3 linked regions of the Caenorhabditis elegans genome follow. Changing the gene in region 3 together with the main gene of any one other region gives a genetic interaction. Each region holds a gene or a part of one and is shown on either strand. Other genes may lie near its edges.

Evidence for each region.
Region 1: of eor-2 (region 3) and trr-1, changing one enhances a phenotype caused by changing the other (phenotypic enhancement), as found in Caenorhabditis elegans (one large-scale study listed by BioGRID).
Region 2: of eor-2 (region 3) and dve-1, changing one enhances a phenotype caused by changing the other (phenotypic enhancement), as found in Caenorhabditis elegans (one large-scale study listed by BioGRID).

Annotation. Positions count from the first base shown.
Region 1 is NC_003280.10:11,672,228-11,677,797, reverse strand, and holds the start of trr-1 (Transcription-associated protein 1), read left to right. Parts: upstream 1-1,870; 5' UTR 1,871-1,941; coding exon 1,942-2,079; intron 2,080-2,126; coding exon 2,127-2,912; intron 2,913-2,966; coding exon 2,967-3,265; intron 3,266-3,310; coding exon 3,311-3,434; intron 3,435-3,478; coding exon 3,479-4,597; intron 4,598-4,642; coding exon 4,643-5,029; intron 5,030-5,090; coding exon 5,091-5,466; intron 5,467-5,520; coding exon 5,521-5,570. Other genes in the region: C47D12.2 (Dymeclin), read right to left, coding at 1-387, 450-691, 739-826, 885-1,093, 1,150-1,296, 1,346-1,488.
Region 2 is NC_003284.9:427,313-436,257, forward strand, and holds the start of dve-1 (Homeobox protein dve-1), read right to left. Parts: upstream 6,488-8,945; 5' UTR 6,482-6,487; coding exon 6,301-6,481; intron 6,189-6,300; exon of another isoform or gene 5,660-6,188; coding exon 5,533-5,659; exon of another isoform or gene 4,839-5,532; coding exon 4,724-4,838; intron 4,672-4,723; coding exon 4,562-4,671; intron 2,194-4,561; coding exon 2,031-2,193; intron 1,981-2,030; coding exon 1,681-1,980; intron 1,376-1,680; coding exon 1,228-1,375; intron 688-1,227; coding exon 509-687; intron 459-508; coding exon 375-458; 3' UTR 1-374.
Region 3 is NC_003284.9:14,600,947-14,609,666, forward strand, and holds eor-2 (EOR-2), read left to right. Parts: upstream 1-2,118; 5' UTR 2,119-2,145; coding exon 2,146-2,215; intron 2,216-2,302; coding exon 2,303-2,433; intron 2,434-2,647; coding exon 2,648-2,818; intron 2,819-2,910; coding exon 2,911-3,009; intron 3,010-3,064; coding exon of another isoform or gene 3,065-3,070; coding exon 3,071-3,493; intron 3,494-3,642; coding exon 3,643-3,802; intron 3,803-3,922; coding exon 3,923-3,967; intron 3,968-4,691; coding exon 4,692-4,780; intron 4,781-4,825; coding exon 4,826-5,132; intron 5,133-5,185; coding exon 5,186-5,480; intron 5,481-5,682; coding exon 5,683-5,812; intron 5,813-5,863; coding exon 5,864-6,007; intron 6,008-6,056; coding exon 6,057-6,225; intron 6,226-6,278; coding exon 6,279-6,416; intron 6,417-6,905; coding exon 6,906-7,072; intron 7,073-7,241; coding exon 7,242-7,475; intron 7,476-7,532; coding exon 7,533-7,679; 3' UTR 7,680-7,708; downstream 7,709-8,720.

The sequences.
Region 1 (5,570 bases), on a different chromosome or scaffold from region 3:
CGTCGTGAAGAATTCGAAGAACAGGAACAACTAGATTCTCGAGGTTGATCCGAGACAACACATAGTTCCGGAATCCCGAGTTCGCCTGTAGAAGCATGTAGAGTAGAAGCATCGGAGGTTCCTGGCCAGCGGTAGCACACAATCTTTCGTATAATCCATTATAATCGATTTTGAACGACACAATCTGAGTAGGCAATGTGGATACTTCTTGAGCATTTTGGAAGAGAGCAAGGGTTTCTTTGAATGGATTGGATGAATTGAGAGGTTGATGGCATGAAAGATTGAGGAGAAGCAGGATGCTTAAGTTTCCAAGAGTAAGTGGGGGCTTCTTTTCTTCCTCTGCGGAGTCGATACCAGTTGCCATTTGGACCATTGACCACATTGATGCTTAAAAATCGTGTTTTTTTTTTAATTTAATAAAGAATTAAAAAAGATTTTCAGTGACATACAAGCTAATCCAAAAACAATGCTCTCTTGTGGCTTTTGTACAGTCATGTGATACTCTGAATTGTGGATCAAATAATTGAGAAGAAGAGTTTTAGTGAGCGAAGCTGCGTGTTTCGCACATGATCCATCAATAAAGAATCTGAAGACAATTGAAGTATTCACAATTGATTCATTATATAGTTGAGAGCTCAGGAGAGTTAGGAGACATCGAACTGCTTCGACATGGATTGCCAATGTTGTTTCGCTGAAATTATTTTAATTCAATTTTTTAAAAAATAATTTAAAACTCACTTTACAGAAATATTGATTAAAATCGAAACCAGCTCATACGTGAACTCTTCTGCAGTGTTTTGAAAAACTATCGGGATATATTTTGTCGCTGAAAACGTCAGAATTTGATTATTATTGAATTTTTTTTTTAAATGAAGCTTATTTACCTCCATTATTATTTTCGTTTTCTGATTTCTGTTCGTCATCATCTTCCTCATCCGACGAGGAAGATGTAGACGACGATTCGGTTTCCGTACTCTCATGACTTTTGGCGAAAATCCTCACGAATTCTTTTTCCGTCATACGTTGAGTTAAAAATCTGGCGATGTAACGAAGAATGAGAAGAGCGTTTGATGTTTGCCATAAGTAGATTTTACTGAAATAAGAAAAAGCTTTAATTAAATATAATGATGATTTTTTTTTCCAACTCACTTTTCGCATTGTTCTGATGTTTTTAGTTCTGTGGCTCTGCGAAGGAAAAGTCGAATAAATGCAGCGAAATTTCCTGTTGTTTGTGTATTGTACATTAGACATTGAAGATGATCATCTAAAGCAGATTCCAAAGCGATTCGGGTGTCTCTAAACGATTATAACATTTTTAAAGCTTTTGCCTAATTTTAATCCTTACTCGTCGTCATCATCAAACTTGAGACTGAAAGAGAGAAGTTTGTTCCAAAATGGGTCATAATCGTCGACAGGTTCCAAACCGCTGAGTTTCTTCAGATAAATATTCTCCTGTAAGACCGTTTCCTTGGTTATAACTGATCCCATGTGTCTGAAATTTGTTATTACACTGTTAATAATCATAAAAATAAAAGAAAAAGTCAAGAAAGGGTCAAATATTAATCAGGTCACATCTTTTTTATTCAATAAAATCTCCTCTCTCGTTCGTGGCAATGCACGTGAAATGCGCCAACAACCGCGAGTGCGCCAACACACACACATACGCGTCAGCAGACAATTCGCTCTCGTTTGAAATTTAGTTGTTTCTTTGTTTCTGCTGAAATAATGTCAGTTTTCCGATAATTTCAGCGTTTTCTGACTGATTTTTCTTGTTGCATTCACTTCCTAATAGTTCATTCTACTCCATTCTTCATTTTATAATCTGTTTCCTTCGCAATTTAGTGAATTAAACACGTAAATCTTGTTTCAGATAAATTATTCAAATAGTTGCACAAAGCTCAATAGTTTAGAAGTATCTTCAGTGCTGGTCACTAATACAAAATGGATCCGGCTATGGCTTCTCCAGGCTATCGGTCTGTGCAGTCCGATCGGAGTAATCACCTAACAGAGCTGGAAACGAGAATTCAAAATCTTGCCGATAATTCACAAAGAGATGATGTCAAATTGAAAATGTTACAAGTTAGTTTCAATAATTCGTGTTAAGTAATCAATTTGTTCGGTTGCAGGAGATTTGGAGCACAATCGAAAATCATTTCACACTAAGTTCGCACGAGAAAGTCGTGGAGAGGCTCATTCTCTCGTTCCTACAAGTTTTCTGCAACACAAGTCCACAGTTCATTGCTGAAAACAATACACAACAGCTTCGAAAGTTAATGCTTGAAATCATTCTTCGACTTTCGAACGTAGAAGCCATGAAACATCATAGCAAAGAAATTATCAAGCAGATGATGAGGCTAATCACCGTGGAAAATGAGGAGAATGCCAATTTGGCTATCAAAATTGTCACCGATCAAGGGAGAAGTACCGGCAAAATGCAATATTGCGGAGAGGTTTCACAGATAATGGTCTCCTTCAAAACAATGGTCATTGATCTGACGGCGAGTGGTCGAGCTGGTGATATGTTCAACATAAAAGAGCATAAAGCTCCACCGTCAACTAGCTCCGACGAGCAAGTCATCACTGAATATTTGAAGACTTGCTACTATCAACAAACGGTTCTTCTCAACGGAACGGAAGGAAAACCGCCATTAAAATACAATATGATTCCATCAGCTCATCAGTCAACGAAGGTGCTCCTGGAGGTTCCGTATCTCGTGATTTTCTTCTATCAACATTTCAAAACAGCGATCCAAACCGAAGCGCTTGATTTCATGAGGCTTGGTCTTGATTTTCTAAATGTCAGAGTTCCAGACGAGGATAAACTCAAAACAAATCAAATAATAACCGATGATTTTGTCAGTGCACAGTCCCGATTCCTGTCATTCGTCAACATTATGGCTAAGATTCCAGCGGTAAGTTTCGTTTTTTCAAGTTTTTTTTCTGTAATCCTGATTTTTATTTTTCAGTTTATGGATCTTATCATGCAAAATGGACCGCTTCTAGTGTCGGGAACAATGCAGATGCTCGAGCGGTGCCCGGCTGATCTGATAAGTGTCCGACGAGAAGTTCTGATGGCTTTGAAGTATTTCACATCTGGAGAAATGAAGTCGAAATTCTTTCCAATGCTACCTCGACTCATCGCTGAGGAGGTTGTTCTGGGAACAGGATTCACTGCGATTGAGCATTTGCGAGTTTTCATGTATCAAATGCTAGCAGATCTGTTGCATCACATGCGAAATTCTATAGACTATGAAATGATCACACAGTAAGTTTGAATAAGACTTTCTGATGAAAAATGTTGAAATTTCAGCGTGATTTTCGTATTCTGTCGCACTCTTCACGATCCTAACAACTCTTCTCAAGTCCAGATTATGTCTGCTCGGCTGCTCAACTCACTGGCCGAATCTCTGTGCAAAATGGATTCACATGATACCGTAAGACTTATTCTATCAATAATCGTATCTCACTTCGAAATAAGTTTCAGACTCGTGATCTGCTCATTGAAATCCTGGAGTCGCACGTGGCCAAGCTCAAAACTCTTGCAGTCTATCACATGCCTATTCTCTTCCAACAATACGGAACCGAAATAGACTACGAATACAAAAGTTATGAGAGAGACGCCGAGAAACCTGGAATGAATATCCCAAAGGACACTATACGAGGAGTACCGAAACGAAGAATCCGTCGGCTCTCCATTGATTCAGTTGAAGAGCTGGAATTCCTGGCATCAGAACCATCCACGTCGGAAGATGCAGATGAGAGTGGTGGAGATCCGAACAAGCTTCCTCCGCCAACAAAAGAGGGAAAGAAAACGTCTCCCGAAGCGATTTTAACCGCCATGTCAACGATGACACCTCCTCCATTGGCAATTGTTGAAGCTCGAAATCTTGTGAAGTATATAATGCATACGTGTAAATTCGTGACAGGACAATTGAGAATCGCCCGGCCATCACAGGATATGTATCATTGTTCGAAGGAGCGAGATTTATTCGAACGTCTTCTACGATATGGTGTAATGTGTATGGATGTATTCGTGCTTCCAACAACTCGAAATCAACCACAAATGCATTCTTCAATGCGGACAAAAGATGAGAAAGATGCTCTGGAGTCGTTGGCAAACGTTTTTACAACAATCGACCATGCGATATTCCGGGAAATCTTCGAAAAGTATATGGATTTCTTGATTGAAAGAATTTACAATCGGAACTATCCATTGCAATTGATGGTGAACACCTTCTTGGTTCGAAATGAAGTGCCATTCTTCGCATCTACGATGCTTTCATTCTTGATGTCTCGAATGAAATTGCTGGAAGTTAGCAATGACAAGACGATGCTATATGTGAAGCTCTTCAAAATTATCTTCTCCGCCATCGGAGCCAATGGCTCTGGGCTTCATGGAGATAAAATGCTCACTTCATACCTCCCAGAGATTCTCAAACAGTCAACTGTCTTGGCATTAACAGCTCGTGAACCTCTCAACTATTTCCTTTTGCTTCGTGCATTGTTCCGCAGTATTGGTGGTGGCGCTCAGGATATTTTGTATGGAAAGTTCCTGCAGTTACTGCCAAATCTTCTTCAATTCTTGAATAAATTGACGGTGAGTTTCATTTTTTGATATATCGGTAATACACTAAAAATCCAGAATCTTCAGTCATGTCAACATCGGATTCAAATGCGTGAGCTCTTCGTCGAGTTGTGTTTGACTGTGCCAGTTCGACTCAGTTCCCTTCTGCCATACCTACCGCTTCTGATGGATCCACTGGTGTGTGCGATGAATGGGAGTCCGAACATAGTTACACAAGGATTGAGAACATTGGAATTATGTGTGGATAACTTGCAACCTGAATATCTTCTCGAAAATATGCTTCCTGTCCGTGGAGCTTTGATGCAAGGCCTCTGGCGTGTTGTATCGAAAGCTCCAGATACATCATCGATGACAGCAGCGTTCAGGATCCTCGGAAAGTTCGGAGGAGCCAATCGAAAACTTCTGAATCAACCGCAAATTCTTCAAGTAGCCACTTTAGGCGACGTAAGTTTATTTAGTTTATTCTCTTCCTCGTTTTAAGTTCTAACATTGATCCTATTAACAGACTGTTCAGTCGTACATCAATATGGAATTCTCGCGGATGGGACTCGATGGCAATCACAGCATTCACCTGCCACTGTCCGAGTTGATGAGAGTCGTTGCCGATCAGATGAGATATCCAGCTGATATGATCCTTAATCCAAGTCCTGCAATGATCCCGTCAACTCATATGAAGAAATGGTGTATGGAATTGTCGAAAGCCGTCTTGTTAGCCGGACTTGGATCTTCAGGAAGCCCAATTACTCCAAGTGCAAATCTTCCGAAGATTATCAAGAAACTTCTTGAAGATTTTGATCCAAACAATCGTACCACTGAAGTATACACATGTCCGAGGGAAAGTGATCGAGAGCTTTTTGTGAATGCACTTCTCGCAATGGCTTGTAAGTTCTTAAGTTCTTTTCTCTCTAATCAGATCTATATTTTAAATTTTTCAGACGGAATATGGAATAAAGACGGTTTCCGGCATGTCTATAGCAAATTCTTT
Region 2 (8,945 bases), about 14 Mb from region 3:
CTGTGGAACATTGAAAGAGACAAAGAAAGCGATGGGAAATTGTTGATTGAAAGAAAGAAGGAAATTAAAGCCGGCTTAATTTCCCATCAAGGTTAAACAAGACAAGAAGCGACTAGAAGTTTTGCAGAACGAAAGATGCGTCGAGATATACAGCTAGCGATTAGGTGTAGCTTACAGACAAAAATCACAGCTGGAATGAAAAATGAAGTAGTGATTTTGCTCTTCGTTGAAGAGAAATTGTGGGGCACTGAAGATCAGGAATTCAAGGGGTACACCAGTATGACGGTTAAAGAAGGAACTATTGATGTGAAAAACTTAATGTTCTTTCGAAATTAAAGATAATAAGATTTTGAAAAAAGTTGGAAATTTTAATTTTATACGAAAACCTTCTGCTCAAGCTTTTCCTGCATTCCATTCAACAATCGCTTGCATTTTGCACGTCGATTTTTGAACCAGATCTGCAATTCGAATTCGATAACTAGTAATCAGTATTAATATAGAATATTACCTTCACATTGTGCTGACTAATATGCGGATAATTCTCTCGATAAGCGCAGTTGTTCAAGCATTGTGTGTACTGATCGATTTGCATCCATGTCGGGTGAGGATTCTCTTCGAACCATTTTTCGAGGACGGGTAGCTCGGTGAGTGGGTCGAACATCAGGCGTGAGCGAGCCGCTGAAAACACTAAAACGGAGATTATTTGCTTTATCGTTGAATTTTTTCAAACGTTCCGCGTCAGTGATTTTATCGAAAAATAGAAGTAAAATTCCACCTTAAAGTTTTCTTGTCGAAAAGATAGAGAATTTTTATGCAGTCATTTTTCATATGCATAGCAAACGCAATCTAAGAGCGTTTTAGAGATAGCAACCAATATAGGTTTTCAGACTGAGTATCATGAACATGGCCACCTTCTCGATAAGTTTGAGCCAGTACAAAATCCCTAGAATATTTCTCAAAATCAAGTTTGCAGTTGATTTTCTGTTTTATTTCTGTAAACACAATACCTAGCCTCATTTTTTTTTCCTCAGATCTCAGTGATCGTAATGGTTGTCTGTGCGAAATTCGACGCCCCACATTTCTCCCTTTGTTATGTGTCTTCGCGCACTTTGTGTATGTCTATGTGTGTTTGTGTGTGTGTGCTCGCTTCTAATTTATGAGTTCTTGGTTCAACCCATCTCCCTCTCTTTTCCGTTAGCCTGTCTGTTTTAAAGCTCTTTGTTGTACCTGATGAGTTGGCGTTTTGCATGGAGTTGGTGGATGATGAGTGGGTGCTGAATGCTCCGAGGTCGAGCCCGCTGAGAAGCTTTGGGGAGGTCGAGGACAATGATTCGCGCATTGAGTTTGCCATATCCGGGGAGGATGCAATTGAATCCTGTAGGAAATGTTGCTTGTTTTGGGATGAATAATTTTTAAAGGTGGACCATAATTGTGTCGAAAAATATTTTTAATTGGCGCTCAGCCGACGCTGACAGTTTGGAATAAATTCAGATTTTCGGCCGTAGTGTTAGGTCTTTATAACCTTATCGGTAATATTTAGCAATTTGGGAGATGTTATCTTTAATGTGAATCAGAATCGAAATAGCCGAAAATCCGTTTTTAGCGTGATTTTTCAAAGCTTTTCAGCACGAGCAACGCTAATCAACCTAACTATGGCACAAACAGTCAAACGTAACTTACAATTTCCGGTTCTGGTTTAATATTGATGGAAAACAAAGTATCTTGAATAGTTTCATCTGAATTGCTATGAATCTCATCATCGGCTGGAGATGGCGAGTCGGAGCCGCCGACAATCTTGGTTTCATCCAGTTTGTCGTAAAAATCAAATTTTTGACGTTGTTCTCCAAACAGGGACTGGAGCAAGTTGAGTTGGAATCCCGGGAGCAGCTGCGCCGCTGTCTGAGCTGACGAGACCTGCACTAGGTCTACTGGAGCTAAGGTACGGGAACTCGAGCGTTTTTGTGTGAACCAATTGCAAATCTGGAAATTCATTTGATTAATGGAGTAATATGTAGGCGCATTAAATTCACCTGTTGATAGCTGATCTTGGAATTGTTCTTTCTGAACGGACTCTGATTGAGCTGGCTTAAGTAATTGTTCATTTTTTGTTTAGATGGATTTGCATCGGATTTGAACCATTTATCAAGACGTGGAATTTCGTAAAGAGTGTTGAATCTTTGTACTTGTGTTGGGCTGAAATTAAATACATACATTATTATGTGTACTGAAAGTAATATGAAAGCAGGCGTTTATCTTTCTTGAGAGTGGAATGAAAAGAAAATCATGTAGCGTATTTCTTCTATTTGTATTGCACCCGACTACCTAACTTTGAAACGTTATATCTTAATTCATTTTAAAGAGTATAAATACACTTTAAAGATATACATATATTTTTAACTACGAATCTATAGAAAAATAACTGAAAAAATATTTTGTTAGTTAACAACTTCGAATAGCACAAACGATAACTGAGATATAAACAGTTAAAGTTGAACAATGTGGTACAATACAAATAGAGGAAATACGGTGTAATTACTCGTATACAAGTTTTTTGTAAGGATAGTTTTTAATCATTTTTTACTGACACTTTTTCTCCAATCACGACTCCATTCTGATAGTTATACTGGGTCCCCTTCTTCTTGTTTTTGCGCCCCCCCCCCCCCCCCGGGTAACAGTTTGGATATATCACTGTATGCACACAACGCATTCAATCTCCCTTTTTCTATTCTTTATTACTCTTTACAGAATGCGTCACCGCCGTCCTTTCCCATTTTGCCCTTTATTCTGCTGTTCCCATTCCCTCAGAGCAATATGTACATGTTTTGTATCCTCTCTTGTGTCTGTATGTCACAATAAGATTACTCACAACACAACTCAATTATTTGTACAGTTGGAAATTCGAAAATTTGGATGTGCTTCGATGACTGGAAAACTTGATTTCAGCTTTTTCTTTTTCCTTTTTTCTTCTCGTTGGAAGAAGGAGTTTCAATAAAGGAATATGTGGAAAACAACTGTCTCCATCACTTATAATTTGACTTCTTCCCTTTGTTGTCTCGGGAATGTAGATCAGCAGGCAGTGGCAGTTTCAGAGATGTTTTCACGGGTCAACAAGGGGCCAAAACCAGTCCTGATCTCTTAGCCTCCTTCTCTTGAGAAATTGAGAAAGACACAATGGCATGATGGAGGGCACTTAGAGAACGACCGAATTTGATCGTTTTGTCTTTTGTCTCGTTTTTTTTTTGAAATTAGCTATCTTCATCTCAGTCTAATACTGCTCTCTTATCCGGGCATCAACCGTACTGTCAACCGGCTTAGTGGAATTTATAGTTGAGTTACGAAATAAAACTTGAGTTTTGGTAATTGTTAAATTCTGACAAGCCACATATTTGGTGAATCGTCTCCTAAAAATTTTAGATTTTCAAAAATTTTTGAACTCAACCATTTTAAGTTGGCAAATAATAGAAGGCGTACGGTGTTTTATTATTTTAGCACTAAGAACAAGGAAAATTTTTGGTACTTGTGGATTATTTCACCTCATTTTGAAAAAATAAATTTTAACATTTTAAAATAAAACCGTGTGTAGTTTTTTATTTTTAGGCTTAGAAAAAAAAAAAAAAAAAAAAAAAAAAAAAAAAACGTTTTCTGCTACGCAAATGGGTAATAAAGTAAAAAAAATCAATTTTATATAACGATTTTACAGTTTCAAACAATTTTTTATAGATTAAACTTGTCTTCAAAGCAATTCTTAGATACTTCGGTATAAACTAGTGTTTCTAACTTCATTCACGTATATCTTCATCACTTTGCCTTCCCCTTCCCATTGAACCCATCCCCTACTCTTTTCCAATCCCAAACAATCATCGTTTTCGCACATTGTGTGTGGGGGCTGTCACTAATAAGATGAATGGTGATGATGGGCACCAAAGAAAGAGCAAATGATACAATCTGCCGGCTTGTTAATCCCCGACGCCTATCCATTCTGATTGTTACGACACTTGAAAACAAAAGGCGGGTTTTTGATGAAGACAACCTCAGGAAATTGAAATTCTGACGGGGGGGGGGGGGGAGCTCCAATGAATCCTTGCGGTGGAAATTAAACGAAACTAACTATTTAAGTTAAGTCCTCTCTTTTCAGATGTGAATAAGAATGCACAGACGTGGAAAAGTATATTGTTTATATGATATCCGATAGGAATCGGTTTTACCTGATATCTAGAGACAGCAAAATTCCATCTCCTAAATTTCCCCAAAAATTTATAAACAAAATGGGTGCTCTCTCATAACTTTTCCTTCAACCACAATGTATACACAATCCTGCCTGCAGCTCAAAATTCCTAACCAATCCATAAAGTCTATTTCTACAAACAAGCCGAGAGGGGGCTTAACTCGAGCACCGAATAGCGGCTTAACTTGGCGCTACCCCCCGTGTCACTGCTCTCTGTCTTTTCTCTCAAACTCTGCCCCCCCCCCCCCTCTATTCACATCCAACACGCACAGCGGGATTACGGTGGCTGGTTGGCTGACTGGCTCGCAACTCATTGCATGGGCGGCGCTATCTTACCTTCTACGATCCTCGTTCGTTTCCAGCGTATCAAGCCATTCGTTGACTGCACCAATTTGTTCGGAATTCAAGAGTGTTTCATCTCCGGCAATGATTGTGTTGATGACATCCTGCAATTATCAGAATTGAAATTGAATTATTGAGAAAATAGCAGCTACCCACCTTAACCTGCTGATTATCCACATTTGTTAAAACATTGGGATTTTTGTTTACTGCAGCTTTCAGGAGTTTATTCTTCACCTCACTTATACATTGCACAGAATTTGAATCCGTAGATCTGAAAGAAAATCATGATGATGGTCATAAAATTGTGTGTGTGTATAGGCATATGTGTGCCCAGGGATAGGGCTATAAAAATCGAATTCGGTCCGTGAATGGTTTGTGCTTTCATTGGTCTCATAAAAATTGCGTCGCAGGACAAAGCGCTAAAGCTTTTGCGGTATTTGTGAGTGCCATGTTTGATAGCAAACTAAATGCCAAATATCAATAGAATATGAACGATATAAAGAAATGAAGGAAGCGACAATAATCCGCAAACAGATAGGATAAGTCATACGGGGATCTAGGTAAATAATTTTGTTGGTCCCCGGACCCTCCCGCTCCTTTGACTTTTGATGACTAGAAATGCGCCCCAAAATGTATCTTTTTTCAGCCACCGCCAATTTCAATGAGTTTTCCCCCTTTTTTCCTTCCATCACTTTTTCTCTCCTGTACACATGTCTGAATGTGTTTATATATATGTGTGTGTGTGCGAGGCGCGCATTGTACATACCTATGTTTGCCATTTTCTTTGAGTAGTTCTAAAGAGGATGTATAGGGGTTGTGAGGCGCGATTTTGCTCACCTTTACAGAATGAGCCCCCCGGAGCACACAAACCTCCCGATCGACAGTCGTCTGGTTGGAGCGGGATTGGATGGGATAGATGAGGTTATAGTGCGGAGTGAAACAAGAATACTTCAGGAAACACTTACGGTTTTGACAATATTTTTAGCACTACATGTGATGATATATCTTTGAAGAGGTTTTCCACAGTGTCATCTAAATTTTCAGTAATTTGATCGAATGGCAAGGGTTTCCAGTTGTTTACTTGTATGAGGCCTGAAATTTCTGAATTATCGATTTTCGGACAACAAATGCAAAATATTTTTTTAAAAAACCCTATGCAATTCCCTTCGTTTTCTTTCCGATTTCCCTTTCACATGATTGCATAATCTTTGGGAAAGTAGATACCAAGGAGGCAAAGCCGCCGAGAAAAGAACAGGTTCGACAGTCTGTTTCACTTTCTACTAAGGTGGAAGAAAACGTGAAAGTGAGAAAATGGGAGGAGGGCGCTGAAATCGCAGAAATACCGTTGATCTGGCAAGAGGCGCAGAACAAAACACATGAGTGGGTAGGGTCGTCTTAGCCAAAAAAAAGTGGGTGATCTCGGGGTAGGAGGAAGATGTATATCTTCTTACAGCATAGCGAAGTTGCGCAACCACGTTATGCTTCAATGAGATTGAATTGAAACTGAAAGTAGTTGTCAAGAAAAGGAGATCCCACTCAATACTCAATTACTTACTCGCCTAGAGTAGGGTAAATCTGTCAATCACAAGATAGATCTGTTATCCGTTTTTGGCGAATGAAAAAAAGGAACAAAAATGAAAGAAAAGAAGATAAGGAATGTGTACTACTAATACCAAAATAGTTTAGCTAGTCACGAGGTCTATGGCAATTTTCAAAATGTTTTCTCAACTAACCTCGAGCACTTGTCGACATGCTCGAATGTCCAAGAGCTGCTAGTACAGTTTCGACGAGTTGATTTAATGTAGTGGTCCCTGCGACAATTGCATAAGTGTCTGTGATCATGTGTCCTTCGTTTGAGCATGTCAAGCAATGTTGAGAGCGAACTGTTTCCACGATTACCCTCATTGGGAACATATCTAGCTGAATGAAACTTTATATTTGAAATTTTTAAAATAAAAATGAGAAATCGAGATAAACTAATAGCAGAAGAATCGAAAGAAGAGCCAGAAGATAGTTGGATAGATTTAGCTCTGCGCTCCGATTGGTGTGCGGACTTCCCGCCCACTTTTCATAGATATGGAGGAGGCGGGGCTTTCTATGATGCGGGGAAGATAGATAGAAAAAGAGCGAGTAAGAGAGAGAGAGAGAGCAAGAGCAAAAGAGATATGGTAGTTGTGGCTAGTTGGAGCAAATAAGGTGGAAAAGAAAGCGCGCACCTATTCAACCGTAATTGCGATGGAATAGAGCGGAGAGCAACAAAAATGGAAGAAAGGGAGATAGTGGGATTTGTTAAGGCGATTAATGAAAAAAGAACGGGAGACACCAAGTTTGGATAACAGATTTGCAGTCTGTCCAAGAGGGGGTTAGAAATCTTAAGACACAAATAAAAACAACGAATCAGGCGACATGTACTCATTCTTCTTACTTCTTACTCGCTACTGAAGACAAGTTGAAGATGAGAATGGATGGAAACGAAAACGAAAACAAGATTTGATATGGAAAATCTGAAAGAAGGCGACCACGTCGTCGCCAAGAAGAGATTGAAGACGACGAATGGAGCGAAAGTAGTAAGGAGGGGTTGAGGGGGGGGGAGGTCGGGATCGAGATGGCATAATGTAGGAACCGGATGGAAGAGTCTAAAAGAGGCAGAGAATGCGGAAGATGAGGAGAAATAGGTAGGTGAGGTAGAAAACAGTGGAAAAAAGAAAGATGGGGCTGGTTGCCAACCCTCCCCCATCTGTAGAAACGATCATGTACTACTAGTTCGAGAAAAGCCTCGGGTCGTTGTGGTATGGCATCGTCTTAGTCTTCGTCGTTGAGGGAGGAAAAAAGAAGAATCGAACAAAGACAATCCACTTGTTCAAGATTTTCTCTCTCTCTTCACTCTTCTACCCTATAACCCCGCCTTTCTCTTTTCCTCACCGTCAAATCGAAAATAACGACGCTACACATCGCATAAGGGGCGCATCAGAATTAGAATTGTCCCGATGTGTCAGCAGAGATAAAGGTTAAGTTACTTATAGAAATTTTAAGGATGCGCGTTTCGGGAGAGGAGGGGGTCTGCCAGTTATAGATAAGACAGTGGTTGGAATGCAAGTCACTATTTACTTAGGAGCTCCGAGTGGGTTTGGGATTATTGTCGATAAGATAATGTGTACACTTTTGATACTTCGCCACACCAAAACTCAAATCCGTTTCTAGAAATTTATCTAACAAGGTTTATTGTTAAAATTACTATGAGTCAAAAATCAACAATTGGTATAAAACGTGGTTTTGGAAATATCTAATTTTTCAGAATTTTTGCAAAACTCTGTGAGACTCATTGATTAATCATTGTATTCTACACTTGTATTATCTTGCTCCATCTCCACATAATCAGTTCTAACAAACGAATGTTTGTGCCCCTAAGCCTAGAGGATTTAGTTTAGGTGTCATCGTAGCGGCTAATTGAAACAATTGCAATCTGGAGCAATACTGAAGCAAGGAGAGGGGGTTCGAATAAGCCGGAAAGAGTAATCCCGGTTGCTTGAAGACACCAACCCCGCGGATGGGATTATACAAGAAGCATGAAGTAGAAGTATAGGGTAAATGAGACCCTTCTTACAAATTTGAAAGTCGAGAAGTTCTAGACTTCAAGGGGCAATGCAAAAAATCTCAGTTTTACATATATTACGTATCGTACGGTAACGCAAAAGAGAAGATTAAAGAGGAGGGGGGGGGGGGGGAAGTCAATTGAAATTCAGCGGCCTTATCATACGATATACATTATATGTTTACCAACTCAATGGACCGGACCGAATGGAGAAAGAGATGGTAGGGAATGGAATAATGTGATGGGTTATGGTGGGTGCTTGCCCCTTGTTATATGATATTCAGTATTTTTGAAAGAGGAATTATAAATATTCTGATTTCAGTATGATTCTTCAAATTTGTTTTATTATATGATTCTTACATACAAAAACTGTAGGACATTCAAAAATTGAGTAAGAAAATCCTAAAGGTGGAGTGGTTGTCCCAAAATGACGGAATATCATAATAAAACTTTCAAAAATTTTTTTTGAATTTTTTCTATTTACAATCAAAAAGTGGCAATTACTCTGTTTTTGCCACTCATAATTTTGGAAGTCGACCAAACAAAAACATTTTTTCTACGTTTTTTTACTGTTATTTTGTTTTAATTGTTTGTGTTAAAACATCGTAGGGGTGGATCCATGCGACATTGCTTTGGACTTTTTTCAAAAGCTCAAATTATTCAAAAATGTTGGCAATTTGCCAAAACTTTGACCGGAAATTATTAAAAATATAAAATTTTTTGGAGTGTTTTATTATGATATTCGGTTGTTTTAGATTATTATAAGTGTATTCAGACAAAATCCCC
Region 3 (8,720 bases):
AGCCTACAAAGATTTTGATTTCATAGTGATGAATTTGATTATCTTGAGCCGAAGGTGATTAAATGAATTGAACCGGGCTCTGTTTTTGACAGATGGTCTCAATTGTTTTAACAACCATAATTTAAAATTTGACTCTCGAGATGTCGGCCGCTATATTTCTAGTCATGCTGTTTATGACAAATTGAACTTTATAAAAATAAATAGACATATTTATAAGCGATTTTTTTCAGTTTAACTTTTTTCAATAGCATTTCTTGTTTCGCAGGCCATTAAAAAAAATAACAAAATTGACAGAAAAGGGAATTTCTTTCTGACCAGCTCTCTATGTATACAAGAACAGTAGTTCAATATTTTACAAAAAGTGTTTCTAAAATATCAATTTTTGTACAACAACGCGGAAAACATATGTATAAGACTTCTCACTTTAGCCGGTTTAAAAACTACAAATAAAGGTTTTTAGCATTAACGTTTTAAAGCAATTCTCAAAATAATACTGATCTGGAAAATTAATGCAATGGTCTTGTCTTTTTCAATTTCAGGTATTGACTTATTGTTTAACCTTTAAACTTGTAATAAAACAATTTTTACATTTTATTGAAGCACATCAAATCCAAAATTTTATTTATACTGAATGAAAAATGTTTCAACTAGATTTTGTCGAGTTCTGACAGCATAGTTTCGTAGACAAATCAAGAATTTTTAATTTTGCAATAACGTAACATCAAAACAAAATCGTAATTTATTTATTACCAAAACAAAGACGAATTAACTGAATGAATGAAACATGAAAAAGACCTGTATATAACACGTTGCAGATTTCAAACTATGCTGTTTTTTAATCAAAAATACAAATTGTCTTTGTAAAGTGTATCTCCACTAAACGTCTAACCACTGGCAGCAAAAAAATACCTATTTTGAAAATATGGCTATTTTTGTTTCCTCCGTATTGAATTTTTTTTTGAAATTCGAATTTTCCGAGTAGCAAAAAAGTGCCGTACATGAAAAAATATAATTTTTTTTGTTCTTTCAAGTCGATGTACCACCGTCTTTGCAACTACACTATTCACTCCAAAAAAAATCCAAGAAATTTTTTTTTTGCTACCACCATTAAAACGTGTGGAAATTATTTTAGACTGGTTAATTGCGAGTAGCAAAAAAGTGTCCTACCAGAAAAAATAGCAAATTTTCTGTTCTTTCAGGTCGATGTACCACCGTCTTTGTAACTGCGCTATTCATTTCAAAAAACACAAGAAATTTTTTTCAGAATGTTGAACTGGATGCAATAAAAATTTTAAATAATCCACTCTTCGAAATTCCGAAAACAGAACAAGACTTCACTGTGGTGATTTTCATTAAAATCAATATGTGGTAATTTTGTATACTCTCTCTATTTTCTGTTACGGATAAAATAAAAATTGACAACGGAATTTCTGAATTTGAAACATGCATTCAAAAAAAAAAACGATTCCTGTTGGTAACACATATGCACAGCACACTTAAAATGAAACAAACCTGATAAGACATTTTTTAAACTTTTAGGTTCAGTATTTTTGTATTATCTATTTGAAAAGTTACTATTCATTCATTTTTCTTTTTTCCTTAAAATTCTTGTTGCGGATGGAAAAACTAAACCTGAAAATAAATCAAGTGAATACATTAAGCTTTTTCTACTTTTTCCTTACAATGTAATAATTGAAAAGATGCATTTATGAGTTATCGTGATGTCTATTTTTGATTAGTCTCCTGTATTAAAAATCGCGGAAAGCATCAATATGGCCTACGTTTTAAACATCCTCGTCCGTACAGCCACTATCTCTTCCATTACCCTTCATATAATTACACCCGCGTGCCTATTCGCCCTTACACAGTCACTCAGTCCGTCCGTCCAGTCGACTTGTCCTCTTTCTCTGCACTCTCCGATCCTTAACCACTACTCACATGTAAACACACGCGACCGACTGCGATGTGTTCTTTTGCGCCGACCTCCTCTCGCGGACGAAAAATCAATAGGATGGCGGTCATTCGAATTGTGTAACGAAAGCGTTTTTTTTTGCTGCTTTCCGCGTTTTACTAGATTTATTTATAGGTTTGGTTTCCGTATTAATAGCCAATTTGTAGATTATCTAACTGCACTAATGAAATTCGATGGATCAACGTAATCAAAAATCTTTGCTGCCCGACTTTTCGGCAAATGGGTTTTCCGGGCAGTTTAATGGTAAGCAATAAGAAATTAAAAAAAAAAACTTAAAATTTAAAATTTAAAACTTATTGTTAAACTTATTTTATATGCATTTTTATTCAGGAATTCCTCATGGAAATACCAACGCAATTATGTCAACAATTCAGTCGTTGCAAATGCACAGCATGGGCAATCAGTTGTTGCCTCATGGCGATCTCCAAACCGATCTCCAAAATCAGTTTCTTATTGAGCAAGTGAGTTGGAAAATTCTAGCAAAAATATATTCGAGTGACAAAAATGTTAAACTACTCATTTTTGAAAATAAGATAGGATTATAAATCTGACGTGAGCTGTGTATATCATTTTGACTATCTTTGTCGCATACTTTGCACTTGAATTATTATTTTATTTACATAACTTTATTAAAAGCTAGTCGAAACTAAATTTGTATACTTCTTGTTGTTTCAGTTCCAACTAAGAGCAATGCAATCGATGTACAACACTTTTAACAACGGAAACCAGAAGCAACCTCAAGCAAGTCTTACAATGTCGCAGTTCAACTCAATGACTGGGAATGAGCCATCTACCTCAAGCAACGTGTTCTCCGCATCCATTCCAACTACTTCAGGAACACAAATTGTAAGTTGGTTTGTTTCAACCGCTTTTTCTCTTTCTCAAAAAAATTTAATTAAAAAGTAAATTCCGTTCATTTATTCAATGTATAATTTCAGAACGCATCTCAACCTATGATTCCCACCACATCAATGCATAATCTCGCTGTTCAGAGCTCTATGATGCTCGAAAACAAACTAGGACAAAATTTAAATCTAGTAAGTGGCATTGGTTTGGATAATAAATTAATTATATTTAACATGTGTGATAAAGTTTCAGAAAACTACCCAACTCGCACAAACGACCATACCTCAGGCACAAGCTGCTGTTGAAGATTGGATGAAAAACATTTGTGTGGATTCTTTACTCGACCCGAAACAAGCAAAGACACCATCAACAACACCATCTGCACAAGTTTCAGCTGGAACCACATTCAATAGTACTCCAGCAGTATCTTGTGCCACCCCACTGACGGCAACTGTAAGCCTGGCGACTAAACCTTCGGAACCATCTGCTGCTTCGTCTATGCCGACGTCTTCGGAATCGGTGGACGCGACGAAAGGGGACGCGATCGACTTTGATGATGAAGCGCATGATGATGTAGACAATATTTTTGGATTATCACTTTCGGAAAGTGACGTGAGGTCCGGCTCGATGTATCGACGGCCCGATTCGGCGGATCGTGTTCATAGTCCTATTGATGTAAGTGGGAAAGGATGAGTCTGGAAAAAAGAAAATTACAGTTTTCACAAAATTCGTTCAAAACTAAAATGATTGAATGAGTTTCTTTACCTACTATCTTTACAAAAAAAAATTCCAATCAATTTCCATTTTTAGTCAGTCTTTTCTAGTTTACGCCACCCGACTCTCCCCAAGCTGAACTGACATTTGACGAAATATTTGGAATATCAGCACCATCGACATCTGCAAAAGCCGCCACCAAAGAAAAGCCAGTACCGAAACCAAGGAGTGAAATGGTATTTCATGATGTTCCATCCACAAGTAAAGACGGTAAGAGTATATTTTTTAGTAAAACTAATGGGTATTTCGCTTTGAGAAAAATACACTTGTTTGGAATAATGATATACCACAGAAGGAAATTTTTTTCACCGACAATCTTCCCCATTTTAGATATCGCTACAGGGACGCGCGGCAATAAGGAATTTCCGGCAATAGGTAATTTCGGAAATTTCCGCCAACCGGCAATTCCGGCAATTGCCAGTTTCCAAAATTTTCGGCAATTTCGGCAATTGGCGAAATTACCGAAATTGCCAGTTTTCAAAATTTCCGGCAATTCCGGCAATTGGCGAAATTGCCAAAATTGTCTAAATTGCCGGACACGTTCTGCGATTTTCAAACCTAAATATATTTTAATAAAATTGAAAACATTCCACCCCTTTTTGTTAGTATTCGGTTAGTCTTTTTTTTAAAGAAAATGGTCAATCCTTAAAGGAATAAATCATTTTGAGCTTGAAAATAGAAAATTAATGATTAAAATGCATGTTTAGGCTCCTAAATCCTCAAAAAGTATCAAGTTTATTTATATATTTCCGGCAATCGGCAATTCCGGCAATTGCTGGATTTCAAAATTTCCGACAATCGGCAATTTTGGCATATGCCGGTTTATGAATTTTCGACATTCTGAAACTTCGGCAATTGTTGCGCACCCATGTCTCGCTATGTTTTCCTTAACCAGACCTCAATTTTTATGGAATAAATTTTTTTGTAGATGTCTGCAAACCACGTTAAAAAATGTTTATCAAAATGAAATTCATCGTTTTTATTTTTGAATAAACATTCTTCAGACTCAATAATCTCTTTTTAATATCATTTTTAAGTAACTTGTCTTTAGAATTAGTTTTACCAACTCCAAATCACATTAATCAAAACTAAATTACAGCTACTCCACAAAGAGTCCCGAAACCTGCTCCAACCGCTGCATCAAAAGAAGAGGATGACTTTGTCAACAACTTCGTTAAACCACAAAATGTAATCCACATTTACAAAATGTTTTTAAAAATTCAAATGTTTCAGGTTCCTGTGTACAAACAAAAAGCTGCCCTCATGTCCCTTGAAGCAAGAGAAAACGCTCGGAAAGAAGATCCAAACTATGATGCTTTTGAGTTTGAGGATGACGATGATTTCGTGTTTGGTGGGCCTTCGGCAGATTTGAGGCGTGAGCCTGAGCTTACGAAGAAGATTGAACAGAAGGCGAAAAGTGTATACATAACTGGAGTAGGGTTTTCAATTCGAAATGATAAAGAAAAGGAGTATAGTAGTAAGAAATATTATTCCAAACCATCAGCAACTCATCAGCCGAATTTCAATGACACAATTAATGGTAATATTTAACTTTACAATACCATATATTTATATCAAAATTACCTATTTCAGAGAAAGCATTTTTCACGACAGCTGATGAAATTCGTGCTCAAAAAGATCAGCAACTGGTTTGCGCATTCTTAAAACCCGAACAAGTTACCAGCACAGAATGCGTGAGGAATATGAGAAAAGTGACACGAGAAGAGCCAATGCTTCCGAAATTTATAATAAGGGTTGAGCAAGTGCAAAACCAGCATGAAGAACCAATGACTAGAAGGCGATATAAAAGAAAGAAGAACAAAAGTGATAATGACGACTCGGATTTTGAAGATGTGGCGTATAGGAAGAGGAAAACGGCAAAGAAAGTGTAAGTGGAATTTGATTGGGAATGGGAGTCTAGTTATTCTTCATGGCAAATAAAAAAATAAAGTAGGGCTTCCATGCAGGCGCCAAAACGCCTACCGGGAGCGGAACCCAAAAAGTGTCGGGCGCGGCGATAGAACCAAATTTTCAATATGTAGTTTTGAAGAAACTACGACTGTTTCAATTTATGAAAGTCCTATTTTCAGTTACACAATGCACAAAGAAAATGATCCCACTTTTCGACGAACTGTCTTGGACTTTTCAATTGGTCCATGCGTCTCTGATGAAGAAAAGAAGCGCGTCAGCATGTTTGGCCCGGCTGAAGGAATTTTACCCGTGAGCTTGAATTGATCGTTCTGTTTTAATTCCCAATTTGTGTATTATCAGAAAGGAACATATGTAATATGCAAAGCTGACATGCTGAAAGAAGATTGCGCTGTATGGAGAGTTGACAATCAGAATTTACTTCAGAAGTTTCCTCCGTTTAGAGATAGCAAAGCTAATCGACTAGTCTATCGCAGTAGTAGTACGGTAAGATTTGATTTTTGAGAAAGCGCAGCTTATATTTCACAGTTTTCAGTATTCGGGATGGTGCGAACAAATCTCATCACAATACTTCCGGGTCGCTGTGAAAATTATCAAACAGACACGTTCCGAGACAACAGTGGAGCCCGAAGTCCCCCTTGCCGAACTGTTTCCGGCGTCCTCTGTGGAATGGTTCAAGAATCCTGGGACTGTGTTTTTTGAAGGTATTTTGATAATTTTTTTTTGTTTCACCTTCTTTTATAAATAAATGTTGCAGAAGAGACGAAGGTTGAGCCAATAGACGATGATTCAATTTTAACGGAGCCAAGACGAGTCTCCCTAAACACTCTTGTCAACGCGTACCTAACACAGGTGTTTACAAAAACCCACGTGGAAAGCCTCATAGATGATAAAGGTAAGGTGGTTACAGAAGGACTTCTGACACGCTAAGCTTATTTCATTTTGAATGCCCAAAATTCAAATGGAAAATAAAGAACCATATGTTTTCAAAACAATTGTTAAAATTCCTTTAGGTCAATTTACAGAGCGGCGGCTCACTGATGCACATAGTGTTTATAGCATAGAATTGTTTTTTTTTTCTGTTAAAAAATTTGAACGATATCTCAAATAAGGTCTACAGGTTACTGTTCGCCGAAATGATTTTGCGCACAGCTCTGCGGTAGTTTTTGAAAAATTTGTAACAAAATACATGAAGCCTTATCAAGATCAATATGTTTTGAATTTGTTCATGCAAATTATAGCAAACTTTTCAAAATGTGCAAACTTAGAAAACTTCTTGAAATGTAATAAAACGTAGATCACGGCTCCCGTGTAACATAATATCACAAAAGAAAAATCAAAAAATAAAATGTTTGAATTCGATTAAAACTCGCCACTTTTTCAGATTGGACCTATTCTCGTTCAATAGCAGAACTCGAAACCAACAACAAACAATGCGAAGGGCTGATCAAAAAACGCATACCTGTCGAGCCGAAACACAATCGATGGATTGCGAAATACACTAGATTGGCCATATCAAAATCATCATTTCACTGCTTTACAAAGTGTCAGGTACAGTAAATATAATAAGATAGGGAAAGGAAGAACATCTAGTTGATTGTTCATTGTTTGCTACAGAATATGCAGAATATTGGAAATAGTGGTTAGTTGACATAAATTATATGATTTAGAAACTGATCATCAAAACGAATGAAGTCTATACAACTGTGTGTTTTTGCAGATTTGCAAACGGAAAAAGCCGCGGAGAGTGATTCACTTTTTCGACAAAACATCTTGCAATGAAAAACTGCTTGTGGAGAATCTATCAAGCGATATCCATGATGAAAATGAAGACGATGAAGAATATCCAATTGTATCTGATGCGATATCGTGTGGTCGGTGTTCAATGGCAGTTGACTTTCTTCACCGCATGCATCATATTAAATTCCATATGCTTAGGATATGTGAGGATAAGGTAATTAATTTAAATTTTAAAACAGTGTTATGAAGCTAATTCGGTTCTTTTTTACAGCTAGAAGAAATTGGTACATCTGATATCGACTTGACATCCGATAAGATTGTGGAGAAAGCGAAAGCCGACAAAGTCTGGACGCTTGGTGTCATTCAAAAATATTGCGATTTATGGGATCAAGTCCGTTACGAGTTTCGCGATGTGTAATACTGTAATAAACAATTTGAACAACTTTTATAACACATTTTGATTTTCGATTTCTGATTTTTCGACTGATATCCCTGAAAAATAATAGCGAAGAAGAAGAATGTAGTGTTTCTGCGACGGCTGATCACATGGAAACAAATGCTGCGCACTTATTTCTTGAACTTTCCGATTGCCTGTGCTTTTCTTTTCTCATAATTAGTTTTTCAACACAACTTTTGTAAAAAATTTTGTAAGAATTTTTCTGCGTAACATAATTCAATTATATTTTTATTTTTATTTATACGATATTGGCCAAATTTAAAAAAAACAATCCAATGTTTTCGAAAACTGGGCACTTTATCAGAACGTGTTCTGAAATTTTTTTTTTCAAAACTTAAAAAAGGACTATTGTAAGTGTATCAAGACAAAACCCCCACTGAAACAACTTCTTTAAAATAGGCCCATACCAAAAAATAATTTTGTTGCGAGAGCTATTTTGAAAATTTTGACAAAACGGTGTTAGTTCTTCTTTGTGTTCTTTTTATCAGGTAATGCCAGTTATGTTTTTTAATTGGATATATATTTTTTTCTTTCTTGGAATATGGAATTCCGAATAGCGGTAGCCAAGAAAGTTAGTGCAATAAACTTAAATTCAGGATTTTGAGTCAGAAAAATGCATATATTAAAATACTCAATGAATGCCTCGTTCTACAAAAGTAATGCTTCAAGAAAAATACATTTTTAGAATGAAAATCATGTCCATTGCTAATTAGGTATTAAATACCACTAATCAAAAATCTCCACATTTTTTTAATTTCTGAAATAAGTTATCAAAATTTACATATCACTTATACACAAACATTTGAAAAAAATACACTGGAAATTTAGACGGGATAAATTAATCTACTTTTTTTTTCTTATTTTATCTAGGTGATATGCAAATTGTTAACTATTATTAAAATACCAATAAAACGTGAACATAATTGTTCGCAATTCTTTAAAATTTGCTTGACATTGTCATTAGAAGAAACACAGTTTACAAATAATGAGGACACTTTTCTA